Tamandua tetradactyla: one gene and its partner. The protein of the gene in region 2 purifies or fractionates together with the protein of the main gene of each other region. This does not show direct contact. Links are inferred from orthologs where the notes say so. Each region holds a gene or a part of one and is shown on either strand. Other genes may lie near its edges.

Region 1 (9,157 bases), on a different chromosome or scaffold from region 2:
AGGTAAGAGTGCTTGCCTGCCATGCCCGAGGACTCGGGTTCGATTCCCGATGCCTGCCCATGTAAAAAAAAAAAAAAAAAAAAGCAACCAAGAAGGATTTGAGGTAACCCTTAAAAAGGCTGGAAAGATTTAGTTGGGAAAGGGGAGAATAAATGGAGGGAGGGATGGTGAGAGAAGAGGTGACAGCAGAAGGGTAAAAAAAATATATATGGGCAAACAATATGAAAATCAATCTAAGGGAAGAACACATTACACTTCAATAAACACAATTCTTGACCTAAGCCACCTAAAAGAGGAAGGAAATATAGGAGATTAAGTATTCATATAGACACTCTTAGGAGGAAACCTAGACTTAAATTATAAGGCTAAGACTCAACAACATAGACAGTAAACAGCAGACAAATTTCTTCAGAAGCCAAAGATTTATGATGATACTGAGCTTGCTAAAGTAGTAAACCTAATCCTGTTTTGCATTTTGTTATATTAAAACATTAAATGTCTCCCATGGCCAAGATACTCTTCTTGATAACTAGATGCTCATTTAGAATATTCTGGGATACTGTCAAGATAAAGCATTCACTAAGGTTCCACATAATATTGTGTTTAATGGATCAGGTAAAAATTTGAGGCAGAAAAGCTGTGTACAAAAGTTTAAATCTTTGATCATAACAGGAGCCCAGGAGACTGCCTAAATGGAAACCAAACACTGTTCTAAATCAAATAACCACTGGTTTGTATTTCTAGGTGTGTTGCAATTTTTGCTTTTACTTTGAGAGTAACAACAAATACTTACAGAAAACCTGCTGCCTGTCATTATATAGATGGGAAAAGTAATCATTCCGAACTGCTTAGCTCATACTTATAACACACTACCAGAGAATGAGGTAGCTGAGGATCATTAATTTGTGCTATAACAATTATACTCTGAACTTTAACTCCTGAGTGTAAGTAAATACTACTATGTCTTTAAGCAATAGGAAATCCATCTCCACCCAAGAGTATGATAACTGGCCCTGCCACACCTGTCTATCCAGTGTGGCAGCTTCCCTAGAAATCACTCACCTGCACAGATCTGAATGTAGTAATGAAAGGCAACATGATATGATAGCCTGGTCCACTGGGGCTCGTTAGTAAAGCTCCTCCCCTGCAAAAAGATGTTTCAATTTCACAAGATTATAAAGAGAGACCTTTCTCTTTCCAAATCTAAAATGCTACAATAAAGATTCACTCTCTGATCTACTAAAGACTCACTAACACGAATTATTCCTAGCTAAGAACTGCTACTCCCTAAAATACCTGCCACACTTAAAACAGATAAAAAGATCAAATTAAACTGCTGGATGTTACACCTTGTTTCATAAGCCTAGCCAACCACACCTCTGGGTCTCCACCACCACTCTTAGGTTCAAAGGATTGCCTAAGAGTGTCTTCAACTTTCTGAGAAATGCTTTTACAAAAATTCTAATCGCCTGCAGTTTCTGTATTTTAATTGTACACAACAAGAACCAGATCAAGCATAATACAAGCATAATACATTTACTTGCCAAGTTGAAAAAAAGAAGGCAACACAAACTCTTAAGGAAGAGAAAATTTCTGAGGCTCAAGAGTCTTTTAATCTATCTGCATGGCAACTAAAATACTGAAGGCATAAAGTCTCCATATGAAAACAGAAAAGAAAATAACTGGAACGGAAAGATGAAGGGTGAGGGGCAAGATTAGACATAAAATATGAGCCTGGATTTGTTCATCAAATTCTGGAATGTGAAAACTATGAAAGCCCACCTTGAAAACTGTAAAAAACGGAGGAACTTTGGGAACAAATATAAAAAAGAAGTCCTACTTCGCATAATTCATAGAACTATCCTATCCTGAGACTATAAATAGGTTTGCAAAGATTCTATAACAAATAACTAAGGAAAGATGAAGTATCTGAAATTCACCTCTAATTCTTTGAGAGCCATACCTTCAAATGTTCTTTCCTTTGTTTTACTGTTATAAAGAAAACACTGAACTAGATGGAAATCTGGATTAATCTACCAACTGTTATACTAGATTTCCATCTGCTAAAACATATCACTTAAAAATGCACTTATAAGAAGTTCCTCACACTGAAGACTGTCTCTAAAACCCAGGATGGATCTAAGAGCAGATATATCAGGTTTGGACGGATGACAGAAAAGTTGAAGCTCTTTTCATATATTCTATTATTCTAATTTCTCCACAAATTGTCCTCTCATCACTTACTAGTCTATATCAACACAGAACTATTGATAACTATGCAAGCTTAACTAGACAGTAACATATCCCATAAATTCCTCTCCTCAACTTGAAAAGAAAACGTAAGGTGCCTCATCAATGCTATGTTTATATCCCTTCTGGAATTTAACAATTATTATGGTCATCATGGCCTTATAAGTCATAACCAGACACACTGAGACTTTAAAAGGAAAAAGCTAAGGAACAACCATAAACAGAACCAGATTTTCTAAATAGCACTATAGCTGCAAATTAAAAACCTGTATAGTTGTAGAGAATATAATAATTTATCCGTCTCTCCAATTACAGGCGGAGTGACTACTGCCTTCCTTTCTTCATTCTACAAATAATTAAGCGCATGCTGTGTACTAAGAATAACTGTCAGAGGTCTTAACCTCTGCAGCAAAACTTACAGAGCACAAAACGTGCTAAACACCGGGAGGGTGCGCCGCAAAAGCCAGCTTCGGCTCCCGTACTCTTCCTAGTGCTGGAACGTAAATCACTTCCTAGGACTGGAGAGGATTTCTCCAGGACGCTGCTGAGGGCACAACTTCCTAGACTCCACTCTAGCGGAGTCCACTTTCAATCAGCTCTAGAACCTGAACTGACTGCACGTGCAGCTCACCTGTAATACACAGCCAGGTGTCCTTCCTCAATCTTGTGGATGGAGGCGTAGAGGAGGACAACCACCAGCCCCACAACTGCAGCCACCAGCACTCGGGCTTGAGTCATATTCATTCTTGCTCCTCCTGGATGAGGCAGGAAAGGACCCCCAGTGCCGTGAGTGACAGACACACGTTTCAATTTCCTCCCTCTCCCTCCGGAGTCCCAGCGCCCTCCCGCAGACCGAGCCAGGAAGTCCTGAGCCCCTTTCCTTTCATTCTTCCCTCCTCGCTTCCCCTTTGCCAACCCCACTGTCGGAGGCGGCCCATGGGCCGCCTCCTGCTTGGTGAACGTCGTGACACACGCTCTCCCAACGGTGGTTCCCCTGCCCGGCACACTAACTGAGAAGGGGCCCAGCTGCAAGCTCCGGAAGGAGGCCGATCTACCCCTACTCCCACCCCCATCCCCTACACCCGGCAGCGCCTCACCGATCAGTGACGCATCGCCCCCGCCCGCACGTGCAGCCGCCTCCCAGGCTGCGCCTAACGCCGCCAAAAGCCGGCCCCGCCCACTTCCCAGAACTGCGGCTGCGCGGGGACGCACACAGACGCTACCGCTAGCCCGGGACTAGAGAGACGGGGAGCAGACGGGACAAAATTCTCTTAGCCGCCCGGTTCGCAATCTTCCGCAACAATGTCGGTTCTCTGTACACCCCTGGCTAACTTCTACTAAAGAGAAGGGAAATTGGTAGTCTGGTGTAAGTAGGGATGTAGAGGAAAGGAAAGGGTCTCTCGGAGAGGGAACTGGTCAGCTTGTTCTTGTATAGAGAACCCATTCCCCTGCTTAGTACATTAGTAGCTGTAATCCTTTTCTGGTTTATACCGAGTCCTGCTGTTTGTGACAAGTAGGAGCTTCAGGCACGGGTCATGAACTTCAGGAGCTCCCGAGATTTGTTGCAAATAAAGTGCTAAGGATTCAGAAGAGCAAGAGACTCGATCCACCTGCCTCGTTCACTTGTCGGTTTTTCTCCCCCATCGAGCTTCAAAATTTTTTAATTGTGGCTAATACATATATACACTATCAGGTATTTTCTGAGCACCTTCTATATTCCAGACCCTATGCTGATTCAGGGAGGACTTTATGAGTGGCATGCACACAATGGGAATAGAATGAACTAAGGCATATAAGGATGTGGGGGTGGGGGGATGGAGATGGGGGTGGAGGTCTGTGGGGACTAAAATGAACAGTGAACCCTTGAATTTCTTTAAAATCTTATGTGATGGAAAGGAGTGGTATGGTAGGCTAGGATCAGATTTTTAAAGGCTCATGTGCCCTTTTTCTGCTGGGAGGATCACTGCATAGTTTTTCGAAAAAACTCTGTCATGTACATATATTACCTGCTCAATAAAATAAAAAGGACAAAGGAAATGGGGAAATAAGCACAGATTAGTACAGAAAATTGGGCAGTAATGGCGCAAGCACTGAAAAGCTAACAGTGGAGCCTGAGCTGGATGAGGTAGACTAGGGTTGGAAAACCTGTAACCTCTTGAGCAGGGAACTATGGGAAAGTAGTGCTTTAGGCCAGTGGAACTGCCAGTGCTAAGCAAGATGGCCCAGAGGGACGCCTGGAGGTAGAGAAGCCAAGTGATTAGGAAACTGCAGTAAACATCTAAGGATACAGAAGAAGAGAAGATAGGAGGGGGTAAACAGAATCAATTCAAGTCTTCATTAAAGCAAAGCAAGCTTGGATTAGAAAATGGAATATATAAAATTCACAGTTGCCATTCAACTCTGAAAAGCTGTTAACCAACAAAAAACAAACAATGGTGTCAATCCATGCATCAGAAGCAAATCTGGGGAGAAAGCCATGGAAGCAAGAAGCTGGAAGCAATGGAACCTGGAAGACAAAGGGGAGACCAGCAGATACCACCATGTACCTTGACATGGGACAGGAGTCCAGGATCACCAGCAGCCTGTCTCCAAGTAGACCCACGCCTTCCCATTCTCCGTCCTGGGAGGACTTGTAATACAGAATCTTTTGCCCTCTAGTATCAAATTGGCTTCATCCAATGGAGGACATCATCAGGAGATGGAGGCAAGGAGGAGCCTGACAGCAGGCAATGTATATCCCTGGTTCTCTCCCTGTGGAGTCCACTGGCATGCACATAAATTCTCAGAGTCTTTGTAGAAATAATAGTATCCACTATCCAAAACTGTAACCATCATTAAACTAAGTAACAGTTGTAAAATACCTAGCAAAGTCATTGCCCGGGAAGAAAGTGCTCAAGCAATATGAATTACATACCCCTCCTTGCCTGTCCCTTTTCACACTGCCTTGTAATTATCTGCCCACTTTGTCTGCTTCTCCCTTGAGATTGAGTGCTCCTTGAGGGTAGGGATATAGGCACGAAGACCAAGATGTGCATTAAGTATGTGCCCCGGAATGCCAGTGAAATGATCACTCTGTGATCATATTCACTGAGTGAATATGGTACAACAGCAAAGAGAAGACAGGGCTTTACAAAGACTCTGTCCTCTTTGAAGATGAGGATGATGTTATAACTGGATATAGAAACTGCATGAGAAAGACTACTTTGATCTTTGTCACATCTGGCTAGTAACACTCACTTTTTCTCAATATATTTATATATATTTATTTACACAAACACACACCAATGTAGATCATATATATACATATATATATATACACACACACACATATTATGATCTCCCAGTCAGCTGTTACTTGATACATTTTCCTCAAGACCTTGGAAATGAACTGTAACTAATTAAACAGAAGCTTACACCAAGTCCTTGTCAATTATCTAAAATCTATTAAAGGGGTGATTACAGTAAAGGAGCACTTACTTTCTAAAAAAAAGCAAATCTGGGTTGATGTCACTGCCATAGTCTGTTGTGACTCATACCATCTGCCTGTGTCATGTGGTTCAAGCAGTTCTGACATCACCCAGCTGCACACCATCAAAATGGCCCCATCTAAACAAATCTTTTATCAGTTATTATTTAGAAAATGCATGGTCATGAAAAAAATCCCTTAATCATAATTCCAATACTGAGATGGCTTGCAGTGTTGATTCCCAGATAAGCATTCTTCTACTGTGTTGTGTCTCACTTTGCCATCTAGCTCAGTAACATCCAAGCAACAGGTGTCCAATAAAAGATTTTATTGATTAAAATCTGCTAAAACTAGAGAAGAAAAAGACTGCCTATTATAGCAGTTGACAGGCACAAAATTTAAATCTTTAGAAACAGTGATACCAGATGACTAAAAAGATATGAGAAGACAATTTCAAGGTTTCTAACTTGGATGACTGGGAAAATGACATGGCAGAAATGAGGATGGTGAGAAGATGACATCAGTTTATAGGGCAAGTTATGAGCATGGTTTTTAAATGTGGACAGTAGTGAGAGGACAAGACTACATTAGAAGGTTCCCAACACTGCCTTTACCATAAAACCTGTTTAATTCCTAAAGCAAGAACCATGAGAACCTATATGTTATTGTGTTCCAATTCTATGAAACTTCACATTTCTAAACCATATTAAACTCTTCTATTACAGCTTGATTTAATGAATAGATTCAATAAGTAATTTAAAAATCATTTAATACAATAAGTGAAAAACTGTTTTGAATACAAAAGCATTTCACATTTTTAAAAAAACAAGTAATACCTTCTAAATTACTTAACAGATGACAGAGATCCACAATCCTTTATCTGAAACTCTTGGGGCCAGATGTTTCAGAATTCTGAAATTTTCAGATTTTAGAAAGATACTTCAGTGCATACACTATATACTACATAACCCCCCAGCAGGGTCTGTGGCAGCACCCCATAATCAAACACATCACTATTTCTCCAACAACAAATAAAATGAATATTCACACTAAATGGGATAAGTAGATTCAGTATCAGTTCAGATTAGATTTGTAAGCAAATGAATTTTGTCACCAAGCTTATGAAAAACATTTCATTTTCAGAGCTTTTGGGGTTTTGGAATTACAGAAAGGGAGTGCAGACCTTTATAAATTTATATGACAAGACATGAAAAATCCTTTCAACAAATGACCCATTTTTACAAGAGGAAAAACAGATAAGCTTACAAATACATTATAAATTAACGTGGGTGAATTCCTTTTGATATTATTAAATGTACATCTTAAATAATATACATCTTATCAGTACACATAGCACATTTAACAAGATTTATGAGAGTCGACTGTTATTAAATACAGAGGCACAATCCTGTCAGATGTGCCCTAAAACTGAAAATGGGATTAAACCAACTCCTTATGATGCCAGGAAGAGCACTTGTTAAGTGCAACACAAGGAGATCAGGTTATTCTTCAAGTTCAATTTTATTTGCAGCAGTCCCAACAGAAACACAGGCAGACAACATTTAACATGTATGTTAGTTGAGGTGTTCTTCCTATATACATTTTCAGCCTTATGCCCAAAAGACAAAACTTTAAGAGGCATTTTTAATCAGTTAAATAAGTAATGTTTATACCAAATTTGGAGACAAGTGGGTCACAAAGATGCTCTTAAGTAGCTGTAGTATTTGAACAAGTCCATTGACTTTTTATAAAATCCTATCTTTAAGGAGGTTAAAAGTAATCAAACTCAAAACATTGTGCAGGTAAAATCATGAGTGACTTCTGATAATAACCATTTCTTCCACTGGCTGGTTCTGCAGAATAGTTTCATGGGAGAAAAACAAATTTCCAACACGTGCTCAAACAACTTCCATAAATTTGGTGACAGTGAACAAGTAGCAGATCACTCTGTTAACCAACTCCAATCAAGATTCTAAAATCAGGCATGAAAAAGCTACAATTAGATGTTGTACAAGTAATAGCTATATTGGTGTTTATTTTTGCAAGTATTCTGTATGTTTGATCATTTTATAATAAAAGTTGAAAAATAAAAATACAAAAGTTACAACTAGAGAATTTAGTTCACCTTATTTTCTGTTAAACTAAAAAAACTTCGTTTCAAAAATATTTAAAGCAAATAATTATTCTAAATGAAAGAGGAGATATAAAGAGTTGACATTATGACTAAATGAAGTAAAAATTAATTCAATAAGCATTTTATTGTAGCTTCTCCAAGTTCTTATAAATCAATATTCCCAATGTAAGCAAATCTTCTCAGTTACAGATTATTCCTTACAAAATTAACTATACTATACAACTATATACCTACATAAAATTAGCTATAATGTAACATATATTCATTTATACAGCAGCCACCATATTTGAATTACAGTACAAGCCTCACCCATCTTGTTGGAGAAAACTGATTGCTAAAGCAAAATGGTATAAACCACTCAATTTCAGTATTCACATATTAAAGAAAGCTCACCCTTCTTTTAATGTGACAAAAAATGCTACTGTTGAAGATTATTGATGACATAATCCTAATACAATGCCTGAGTAGCAGAAGATGTAAATTTGAGATCTAGGATATTCTTCCGATTTCCTCTATTTGCCCTATGCATCCCAAATGTCAAGATAAGGCTAGTATGGACAGCTACACCCTTTGTACCTAGCATGCAAACAAAAAACAAACACCCATATGTACACAAAACTTACCATCATACTACTGCCATGTTCCTCATTTGCTTCACGAATAATAGTGCTTAAATGGCCAAGACAGTTCAAATTTTCTTCTATCACTTGTGCTAAAGTCTCTCTGTAGGATGAAAGGGCAAGGAGTTCAGCAAAGGGGCATATGAATTTCCTCTATTTCGGGTCTCCTAGGTCAGGATGATCACTGTCCTTTCAGTCCAGGATCCCAATGCAACTGACTCCCGCAATCTTAAGGTTCCTCATCCCTCTCACCCAGAGGGAGAGTCCTGCTGGTTCCTCTAGACTGTGTCTCTGCTCAGCTCTAATTATAAGAAGCCCACTATAACTCCAATCTGATCTTTTTCTAAAATCTGTGGCACATAAATGCAACTTTTTTTTCCTGAAAATGATAAACTGGGGGAAAAAAAAGATTCTGTGGCACAGACAAATAAAAGACCTCTTTTTGTGGAATACTTCTCTTGCTTTAAATGTAGGAAAAAAAACCAAAACAGCATGCTTACATCACAGACATGAATGTAGGAACGAAGATACAAAAGTACAATCTATTCTGCAGCGATCAGGGAAGGTATAAAACTCTAGGTGAAAACAATAGATGGTAGCAATGAAAAGGAAAACAAGCAAGCTGATTCCTGAGGACAGCAGAAAATAGTGTGATGATTTAAAAGCTGCCAGAATCAAGAAGTTTCC
Region 2 (9,502 bases):
AGTAAGACTGCAAGGTGCAGACACACATGGATGGTGTGAATGTCAAAGGAGGGGCAGTTTCGGATGATGAGCTGACTCAAGTCCTGTAGTGTGGACTGCTCCACAGGAGGGGGCTGTGGCCGAGACCCCAAGAGCTGGCCCAGACGACGAAGTGCCACAAGGTAGTGGTGGGCGCGCACCTTGGTAGGGTTCTGGCCCAGCCAGCGCAGCAGTTCCCCAGGGCTCCTCGCCTGTTCCAGAAGCCGCTGCAGCCCCTGCACAGGGCCTGCATGGGGGCCTCCTCCTGAGGGCCGATCCCCCCATTTGCTGGGCCCCAAAGAGCAGGGCTGTACTGGCGGGAGCACCAGGAGGCCAGACAGCCGAGCAGAGGAGGCGTGGGCAGAAAGCAGGACTCGAAGCATGGAGTTGGGTGATGGAGACCCTAAGGGGCAGCCCAAAAAAGGGGGTGAGGTTTCCCCCAAAGGGGAGAAAGACCTGCTATCTACTCCTTACCTCACTCCCCATCCAGAGGAGCATGGAGTCAGGTCCAGACTCCCTGCTCACTCTTTTTTGGTGATTGTTGCTAGTCTTCTTCCCCACCTCTCCCTTCCTCATCCTACTTCTTTGAGACAACAATCATAATCCTTTAGTGTACTCAGTACAGTGCTATTTACAAAGCAATTTCACATGCATTATCTCCTCTGGTCCTCCTTGCAAGCCTATGAGGTGGGCAGGGCTGCCATTACCACCTCGATTTCACAGATGAAGAAACCAAGGCGCAGAGAGGCAAAGTTAAGCCCGAGGTCATTATTGGGGTTGGTGGTAGCGCTAGCGTGGAGCCCAGGTCACCCTGTCGATTACGCCCTCCCGACCACCGGGGTCTCCCTCCCGCAGGAGGCGGCGGCGGTAGAGGGTGGAACGCGGGCTTTGAAGCTGAATGGTCCTGGGTTCCATGCTAGACGCTCCCACTTACCAGCGGTGTGACCTTGGACAAGTAGTTTCGACTCTCTGCCTAAGTCTCCTCACCTATGAAATGAGAAAGCAGCGCCCATCTCGCCGGGCGCCTGTGGAGCCCGAGTGCGCAGCTTTGCAATGGCGCGGGGCCAGTGATGTAAGGGGCTCCCATACCCACCCAGGCCTAGGACACCAAGAGACCGTAGTCACAGTCCCAAACACAAATTCCCGCCCCGACCTCCCGAGGCCCACCCCGGCAGGCGCCACCCCTACATGGCTCCCCAGGCCCCGCGCAGGTCGCTGCCTCAGTCGGCCTCGGGGGCCGGGAGTCGGGATCCCCCCGCGGCCTCCTCATCGGCGGGCCACCGAGTCCGCCATCTTCCCAGCAACCCCCGGATTGCCGCCCGAACGCCAATCCCAGCTAAGTCTTCAGCCAGCAAAGACGTGGCTCCCGTCAGGCCCTGCGAGCTCGGGGCGCCACGAGCCCCGCCTCCCGCTTCCCGGAAGCTGCGCGCGCGCCGCCGGGGGCGGAGGAAAAGGAAGACGTGGGCAGAGCCAGAGCAGAAGGGGCAGGGCCCTAAAAGCAAAGCGCTGAAGCTGAGGGGCGAAGGGGAGGATAAGGCGTCAGCTGTCAGCCTGGGAGAGTTGAACAGGAGCCAAAGGCCCAATCAGTGCTCTTGACTCCTTTTTCTCTCAATGTGCAAGGGCTCCCTGTCCCTAGTCCCCAACCCCATAGACCCTACACATTCAGACACAAGCCAAGGGTGAAAACTTCACAGTTATTTTAATCTGCACATGTTCCAGTCAACCCCCCCTGTCCCTCCCAGCTACCCTTCCATAGCCTCCCACTTAGTCCTTGGGTCCCCAAATTAGTCCAAAGAGTTACTGGGGACTAAAGGTGGCTGGGCTCTCAGCCTGAACACTAAGACCGGCCCAGGGGGGTTGCCTGGCTCTGCCCAGGGCCAAGGCAGTGACAGCAGCTGCCTGACCCTGAGGAACCAACTGTCAGTGGGAGTTGAGGGCCAGCAGCCTCCGGAGGTGGCCCAGAGCCATGGAGGTCACAGGGAGAGGCATCCGCGGACCCCTGGAGTCCTCGGCGGCGCAGGGCTGGGCTCCAAGGCAGAGGGAACACACAAGCCGGAGAAGCAGGCCTGGGCAGACAGCAGCTCCCACTGTGTCGTGGGGAACACGGTCCGAATGGGCCAGCAACACTGCCAAGAGCTCGTGGAGGCACTACGGGTGGTACATGGCAAAGGCGAGGAGACTGAGGAGCAGGGTGAAGCCGGCCAGGCCCAGAGTGGCCGTCAGGGGAAAGAAGGGCCGGTACTGGATCTGGCAGTACCAGAGCAGCAGCAGCATCAGAAGCAGCAGGGGCAGCAGCAGGCTGCCGATTTCCAGCCCGGAGGGGCCTGGCTCTGACCCCGGAGGGCAGGGGGGGTGTGGGGGACCGACCCGTGTGGACACGTGGCAGTGGAGAACGCAGTTGGGAGGGAGATGAAGGCTGCCCAGGGTCTGGGTATCGTCTCCTAGAAGTTGCCCTTGGTAGATGAGTCGCACCTGCTGCTCCCGGCCGGGAAACTGGGTCCTGAGGAGAGAGGGACCTGGGTAAGAGAGCAGGCCTCAGGCAATCCTAGTCCCTTGCCCCAGAACAGCACTCCCACTCACCCCTCACCTTTGCCCTCCATCCCACCACCCAGGGCTTGGTCTCAGGGGATGCAGTCTGCCATAGTGGAACAAGTACTAGATCCGTGTGTGATTTGGAGACTTCACTGTTCTCATCTATAAAATGAAGGGGGAATCTCAGTCTCTGATGGCCCTTCCAGGTCTGTAATGGCTCCCACCCCATTCTTTAGCATTTCATTCCAGTCTACAGCCCCCTTCAGCACAGCTTACCTTTTCAAGGAGCCAATGGTGTCGTGGGGCCAGGCCCTGGCCACCTGCTCTGAATCGTTGAGGAATTTCAGCCGGAGCACTAGGGGCTCCTGTGATGAGTCTGGTGGTAGTGGTGTTGCTGGAAGCCCAGGGCCAGGCTCTGGCTGGGCAGCCTGACCTCTGTGTCTCAGGCTGGGGACCTCGGCTCCTGGGGCCTCGCCTCTGATGTTGTTGATGACTGCCATGGTTTCGCTGTGCTGTGCTGGAGTCGGGGTCCCTGGTGACTGGGGCAGTGGGTCAGGCCCCTCCGTGGTGTGTGTTGAGACCCAAGCGAGGGCCAGCACCAGAAGGCAGGCAAGCACCGCAAAAAGGATGGTTACCTCATCACCCACCCCTTCAATCAGGGCCATGGCACCTGACTTGCTCGCTGCGCTACCGAGCTGAAGGGGCACAAACAATCCATGAGGGGCTATCTCTCTGACCAAATGCTCTGAAAGCAACAGCCTCCACCCCACCCCACCGCAACTCTCCTTCAGCCCTCATTCCTCCAGGGCACAGACTGCTCTGACTCTCAGGCCTCCCAAATTTATCTCCATGTATTCTCATCACCAAATCCCCAATCCTAGGGGATTTGGTGATGGGCAACCTGAATTCTAGGTCGTTAACCAGTTCCCTAATTCATACACTCCTTATCCTTTGACATTCTAAGCAAACTCTTCCCTAAATTCAAACCCACCAAACTTCACCCCAAAACTTATCTACTCCTCTACTTTTCATCTCAAAGTGTATTTACTCCTTCATCTATCTCACACCCACCACCACTCCCGCAAAGCCTATCTACTACTTGGTCGCTAAAGTTTCTTCAAGAAGGGAAACAAAAAAAAAAAGGCGCCTACGTTTTCCCCTCTCCACCTCCCCGTTGCACAAACCCCCCCGCCCAGCACAAGATGCTTCCTAAGGCTTCACCCACACCAAATGTCAAACTCCGTCCCTCGGCAATCTGGAGCCTCCGTGAGTTGCCCACCCCATCCAATTTAGCCCCCTCCTAGTCCACTCAAAACCCACTCCACCGCGGCCCGACTCTGCAGCGCCTTTCCTAACCCACCCGGCTGCCAGACCCCAGATCCTGCCCCAGGAATCGGATACTCTACCCTCCCTACCCCCAACTCCTCCATTACCCCTTCCATTTTCCCGCCTCCCCGCCCCCCACCCCGAGCCACGGGAAGACACGGGCGATTCCGGGGCGGAGCCGGGACAAGCTAAGACCCAGGGCGTTGGGGTGGGCGCGGTCAAGGCGCGGGTACTCACCGCCCCGCTCCGCCAGCTCCATATCGGACCCTCGGACACTTCCGGGCGGGAGGCGCCGAGGTCGCAGTTACCTGAAGGCTCCCTCTCCTTCCTCGCCGCCGTGGCCCAAAGCATTGTGGGAATTGTAGTCTGGCGGTCGTGCGCAGTCCCCGCCCTCCGCCCTGCGGATCCACGTGCGGGTTCGGCTGGCTGTTCCAGGTCTCAGGCGTCCGCGGGGGTGGATTCTGGGGTTGCCCTAACACCAGAGTTTGTGCGGGAGCCGGACAGACCCTCTTTCCTGATGGCTGCCAGGGCATCTGTCACTCTAGAACACTTAAGACACCAGTGTCAGCTGGAGCATGTTGGAGTGCCCTTGTTTGATATGCAGTGAAGGCTATGGTGAAGTTGGAGTCTAGAGTTCAGGTGGCCCTAGCCCCGGCCTACTCCTATGACAGGGTGGACGCCAGAAGACACTTTGGGGCCCAAACTATGTCTCCAGCCCAGAGTTCAGTATCCATGGGCTGACCTACCTCTCCCTGGGTTTCCTCCTCCACCTTAGGACCGTGAAAGAAGAATGGATTTTGGAACCAGAGAGGAAAAACAAATCCCTTATCCTGTGCTTATCAAGGACCTTGTGGTGGTTATTTAATCTTTTTGTCCCTAAGTTTTTTCCTTCCTGAAACATACCTCATAAGGCTGTTTGTTCTAAGGAAGAAATTAGTTTTTTTGTTTTTTTTAAATAAAATAGTGTGAGAACTATGTAAGGCGTCTGACACACAGTAGTATCACTTGGTATCAATACACTCCTTCAGCCAGGCTTGGGCTGGGAAATTGGGTACACAGGGTTTTACTGTGGAGAGAATATTGAGCCCTAGCCTGGCCTGGGCCAACTCATCTTGTGGATTTATCTTCCTTCCTCTGGCCTCTTCTCGCACAGAGGTCTCATACTATGGACCTGACTGACATTCCAGCCTTGATTAAAAGTAATCCACCCTAATGTTCCAATAGCAGAGCAACTTGAGAGAACAGGACTCCAGGTATTGCTTTGGGAATGTCAGGTTAGATTTATAATTTACAGAACTAACTTATCTCTAGTTCCTTCCTTCCCATTTGTTCATTTATTCTACCAACATTTATTAACTACATACTATATGCCAGGAGCTGTGCAGGATGCTGGGAATACAATGTTCAACTAGACCCTTTCCTTGCCCTCTAATATAGAGACAGACATGTAAACAGCCTACCAGTACTAACACAGGTGTGTGCCACTTGCTGGGACAGCACATTTGAGGAGCTCTTTACTTATCCTCAGAATTCTCTTAGGAGGTCCCTAGTGCAAATTCTTATTATTAATCCTTTTTAAACATCTAAAAGAGATGTTAGATGTTGTTTTTAGAATGATAGAATATCAGAGCTATGTGTTACGTCTTCCACTATGTTTCACAATTGAGGGCCAGAAGGTACAGGACATCCTTTAGGTCACACACGTAAATAGAAACCCCACATCTCCCAGTTGCCAGGGAGCCCTCAAGTGTTGATGAGCTTGCACTTGATTCTTTGGAAGTTACCAGAAACTTTAGAGTGGTGACTGGGTTTGTCCTGGGGCAGAGTTGTGTGAGTAGCTGAATGGTGGACAACTGAATGCTGAGGAAAGTTGGTCCTGAAATATAAAAGTGTGTGGAAAACGGATGGCATGTATCAATTGTGCTGGAGGACACCTGGATATATTCTTGGCGGGGCTATTGGTTGGGGCAACTACCTTCCACCTGCTACCTCTTGTGGATTTAGGAAAGGTTATGCGGAGAGGTGACTGGCAGAACTGCAATAGCTGTGGCAGTGGGGATGGAAAGAAACTGGGAAAAGTGAAGGGCCCCAGAAAGAGCGGCCCCCAGGAAGGATGGTGCACCAGGACTTGAGTGAGGACCGGAGTGAAGAAAGCCATGTATGGCTTGTGATGAGACTCTGAATGGGGTGGGTGGGGGAAGAAGGCACAATATTGATTCCTCCCTCTTCTTCCTCTAATTACTAATGGAGTCCTGCTGCATTTTGTGCTCCCTCCCCAATCCGGGAAGGATGGGGTTCTTTCAGGAGAGGAGGGTCATAAGGAGACAAGAGTGGGGGCATTGTTGCTCAAAGTGTCATTTCAAGGACCCCGCGGATGAAGCTCTCAGGGAGAACTCGACATAGAAGTTGGGAATCCAGATTCGTAGCCTCTGTACTGCAGCGGACAGTGGAGACACGGGGCATAGAGCCAGGGGGAGAAGCCCGGGAGCAGGGTGGTCTTTAGGACTAACCTCTTGGCCCAGGGACAGCGGATCCTCGGCCCTACAGGAGCCAGGAAGATGTGAGAAACAGCGGGGCCAATCAGTCGCGTGAATCAGCACCCTCCGGCGCAGGGACTGTTCAGGCACTGCCCAGAGATCTGACACCCCGCCCGGACCAGCCCAGGGAGGCGAAAGCGACAGCCCAGGCCTGGGTGGAGCCCAGAGCAGCTGTCCCCTCAGAACGGGTGGCCCTTGAGGCGGGTGTGGGTGGGGGCTGGTGTAGAGGCGGAAGGGCCGAGGCTGGGGTGGGAGGGGCCGGGGACGCTGAGGCTGGAACGCTCAGCTCCGGAGTGGAGGCGGCTGAGAGCTGAGCGAGGGGCGGGGGTGCTGGGGTCGTGCGTGCAGGAGGGGCGGGGGCGGTGGGGAGGGGGCTTGGGCTGCGTGTGCAGGAGCCGGCGGGGGCGGCGGTGCGTGCGCATGACGCGGGGGGAGGGCCCGGGCCGCGCGCTCCCGGTCCCGTTGTTGTTGCCGCTGGAGGCTGGTTGGAGGCTGCGGGATCGCGGCGCCGGGTAGTGCCCGGCAGCAGCGGCCACAGCGTGAGCGGCGGCGGCTCCTGGCCTCGGCCTCGGCCCGGCCCCCGGCCCCCGGCCCCCAGCCCCATGCGCTAGCCCCGCGCCGCCGGCTCCACAGTCCCGGCCCCGCCAGTCCCGCGTGCCCGCCGCCGCAGCTCCGCCCCGGGCCCCAGCCGGGCCCGACTCGGGCTCCGCGGCTCCGGAGCCATGAACTTCCAGGCGGGCGGGGGGCAGAGCCCGCAGCAGCAGCAGAGCCTGGCGGCTCCGGGGGGCGGCGGCGGCGGCGGCAGCGGCGCGGGGGGCGGCGGGCAGTTCGGCGGCGCCGGGCCCGGGGCCGGGGGCGGCGGCGGCCCCTCGCAGCAGCTGGCTGGCGGGCCCCCCCAGCAGTTCGCGCTCTCCAACTCGGCGGCCATCCGGGCGGAGATCCAGCGCTTCGAGTCCGTGCATCCCAATATCTACGCCATCTACGACCTGATCGAGCGCATCGAGGACTTGGCGCTGCAAAACCAGATACGGGAGCACGTCATCTCCATCGAGGGTGAGCGGAGCCGGGGGCTGCGGGAGCCCGGGCACGTTGGCCCTTTCGGCGCTGGCCGGGGACACTGCGGGGCCGGTCTGGCCATGCCGACCCGGGTCTAGTGTCCTTGCGCGCCTGAGTTTCGGGCCACGCGGTTCGCTGATCTGTGGCGCTGCAGAGCCGGCGTCAGGGCTTCCCTATATCTCATCCAGGCACACTCTGGGGCTGAAGGCCCGTCCCATGTTTTCAGTTCATGGTGCTATCGGGCGCGAGCGTGGCGTCGCCTCGGTGACCGGGCTGGGGCCAGATGTGGTCAGGCATGGTCGGGGAGGGTCGGCGCGGCGAAGGGGCCTTGGTAGGCCAGGAGGTGGGTCCGCCGCGGTAGAGGCATCCTAGCAGTTACTCGGTCCTTGCCCCGCGGCCGGCGGGGAACTAGAGTCTCCCGTTAGTGGATGGCAGCTTTCCCGGGCTCAGTTCCTGTGGGCCCCGGAGGGTGGCGCTCGCTGAGTCTCTCCCTCTTGGGCTCACACCCCCCCACGCCGCCGCGGTGGAGCAGACTGCGGGCCTGGCCTGGCTAGTGGCTTTGGCGCCGCGGCCGCGTGGGCGGCGTCGGCGGATCTGTGGGCGCCTCAGCCCTTCTGCAACCGGCCTCTGGCACCCACCGCTGCTCTCGGGGTGGGAGGCTGCTGGGCGCTGACTGATCTTTTGGGACGCTGCACCTGGTTTCCGGGACCCGAACTCTCAGGTCACTACACTGCCCAGCCCGCCTTCTCTGGATTCTCGTACCCTGGGCTTGTGGCTGCCCACAAGCTGTGGACAGATGAAGCGGGTGCGAGCTGCTGACAGATGCCCCAGGACCCCGGGTGTGGTGGGGGGCTGGCCGCTCCCGCAGGCATCCCCTGTGGCATGATGACCTTCGAGCCGAGGCAGGCAGATGGGCCTCGCCCTGCGCCATCTGCTTACTCTTCCCGCCCCTATTTGAATGGGGACGCCCACCAGCAGGTGGTGGGTTTCGCCTGAGTGGAAATGCCAGGGATAGTGCAAGGTCTTTTGCTCATAACGTGGAGTTGTGGGCAGGGCCCTGTCCAGTACTTGGGCCTTTCAGTCAGTACTGCACTCCTGTCCTCTCCTAGCTATGTGAGGCTCTGGACAGTCCACTTGAATGCCACCTTTCTGCATTCAGGGGCCCCCGTATCTGAGGAAGGTGCATTTGGTCTTTTGGAATAGAAAACCGCATTTAAAGCTGGGATACTGTCCTTTTGTTGTAAAGGTTCCAGTCTGACTTCCTTCTGTCCTTTTCCCAACCCTCTTGTCTTTTTCCTCTTAAGGCTGAGTTCACCGTGAACTAATTAGGTGACAGAAAAAACTCATTAGCATGGATCTGAGTCAATGGCCTGAATCATGGTTGTGGCTGGGGACCTGGAGATGGCATTTGTGTGAGCTGGGGCCACAAAGAGGAGGAGAGGACCAATTTTTCTTTCTAGATTGAAAGGGAGTGGGGGTGGGGAGAGATGCTTTTCCCTTGAAGCTTTATACCCTCTGAGGAAGTAAGAGAAGTTCCAGATCAAATCCAAGATATCCCCTCCCAGTACCTTTTGCATTGTGAAGACATGGTTAGTGGGACAGCCACAGAAGAAGTTAAGAGCCCTTCCGAGGAATACAGGCAGGCAGGAAATCAGCCCAGTTTTGGATCTAACTCCAGCTCCCTTTAACAGTGGCCCAGCCCCAGTTTAGGGGGTCTCTGGTTCAGAGGGCATCTTCTGCTGTGAAGTGAGAGTCATGGTTCCAAGGATGCACTTGGGTTTTTCACTGCTATCTTAAATTCAATGTAACAGGCAGAATTTCCCCTCTCAGAGCCTTCCCCCTGGCCAATTTCCCCATTGCGGTTTGGAAATACCCCGTGATTCCATCTGCTTAGCTTGGAAGCTTGGTATCACCATCACAAAATCCTGGGACCCAATGTCTCATTGTCACCAGACCCAGCTGCTGCTCACACATCCTTTCTCAGCTCTCTTGCCATTTCCCCTTCATGATCCCTGGTTTCCTGCTCTTTCTTG

The links.
Region 1: the proteins of TMUB1 (region 2) and ERLIN1 purify together in Homo sapiens (affinity purification with mass spectrometry; 3 studies listed by BioGRID and IntAct, with this or other methods). This does not show direct contact. The link is inferred for Tamandua tetradactyla from reciprocal best matches to the Homo sapiens genes TMUB1 and ERLIN1.

The regions. Positions count from the first base shown.
Region 1 is NC_135339.1:61,666,477-61,675,633, forward strand, and holds the start of ERLIN1 (erlin-1), read right to left. Parts: upstream 3,451-9,157; 5' UTR 3,348-3,450; intron 3,006-3,347; 5' UTR 2,995-3,005; coding exon 2,882-2,994; intron 1,145-2,881; coding exon 1,063-1,144; intron 1-1,062. Other genes in the region: CHUK (inhibitor of nuclear factor kappa-B kinase subunit alpha), read right to left, coding at 7,659-7,688, 8,474-8,573. UniProt on the Homo sapiens protein: Component of the ERLIN1/ERLIN2 complex which mediates the endoplasmic reticulum-associated degradation (ERAD) of inositol 1,4,5-trisphosphate receptors (IP3Rs).
Region 2 is NC_135327.1:195,009,679-195,019,180, forward strand, and holds TMUB1 (transmembrane and ubiquitin-like domain-containing protein 1), read right to left. Parts: upstream 4,249-9,502; 5' UTR 4,228-4,248; coding exon 4,114-4,227; intron 3,246-4,113; coding exon 2,827-3,245; intron 2,519-2,826; coding exon 2,167-2,518; 3' UTR 1,699-2,166; downstream 1-1,698. Other genes in the region: FASTK (fas-activated serine/threonine kinase), read right to left, coding at 1-421, 1,006-1,105; AGAP3 (arf-GAP with GTPase, ANK repeat and PH domain-containing protein 3), read left to right, coding at 7,136-7,466. UniProt on the Homo sapiens protein: Involved in sterol-regulated ubiquitination and degradation of HMG-CoA reductase HMGCR. Involved in positive regulation of AMPA-selective glutamate receptor GRIA2 recycling to the cell surface.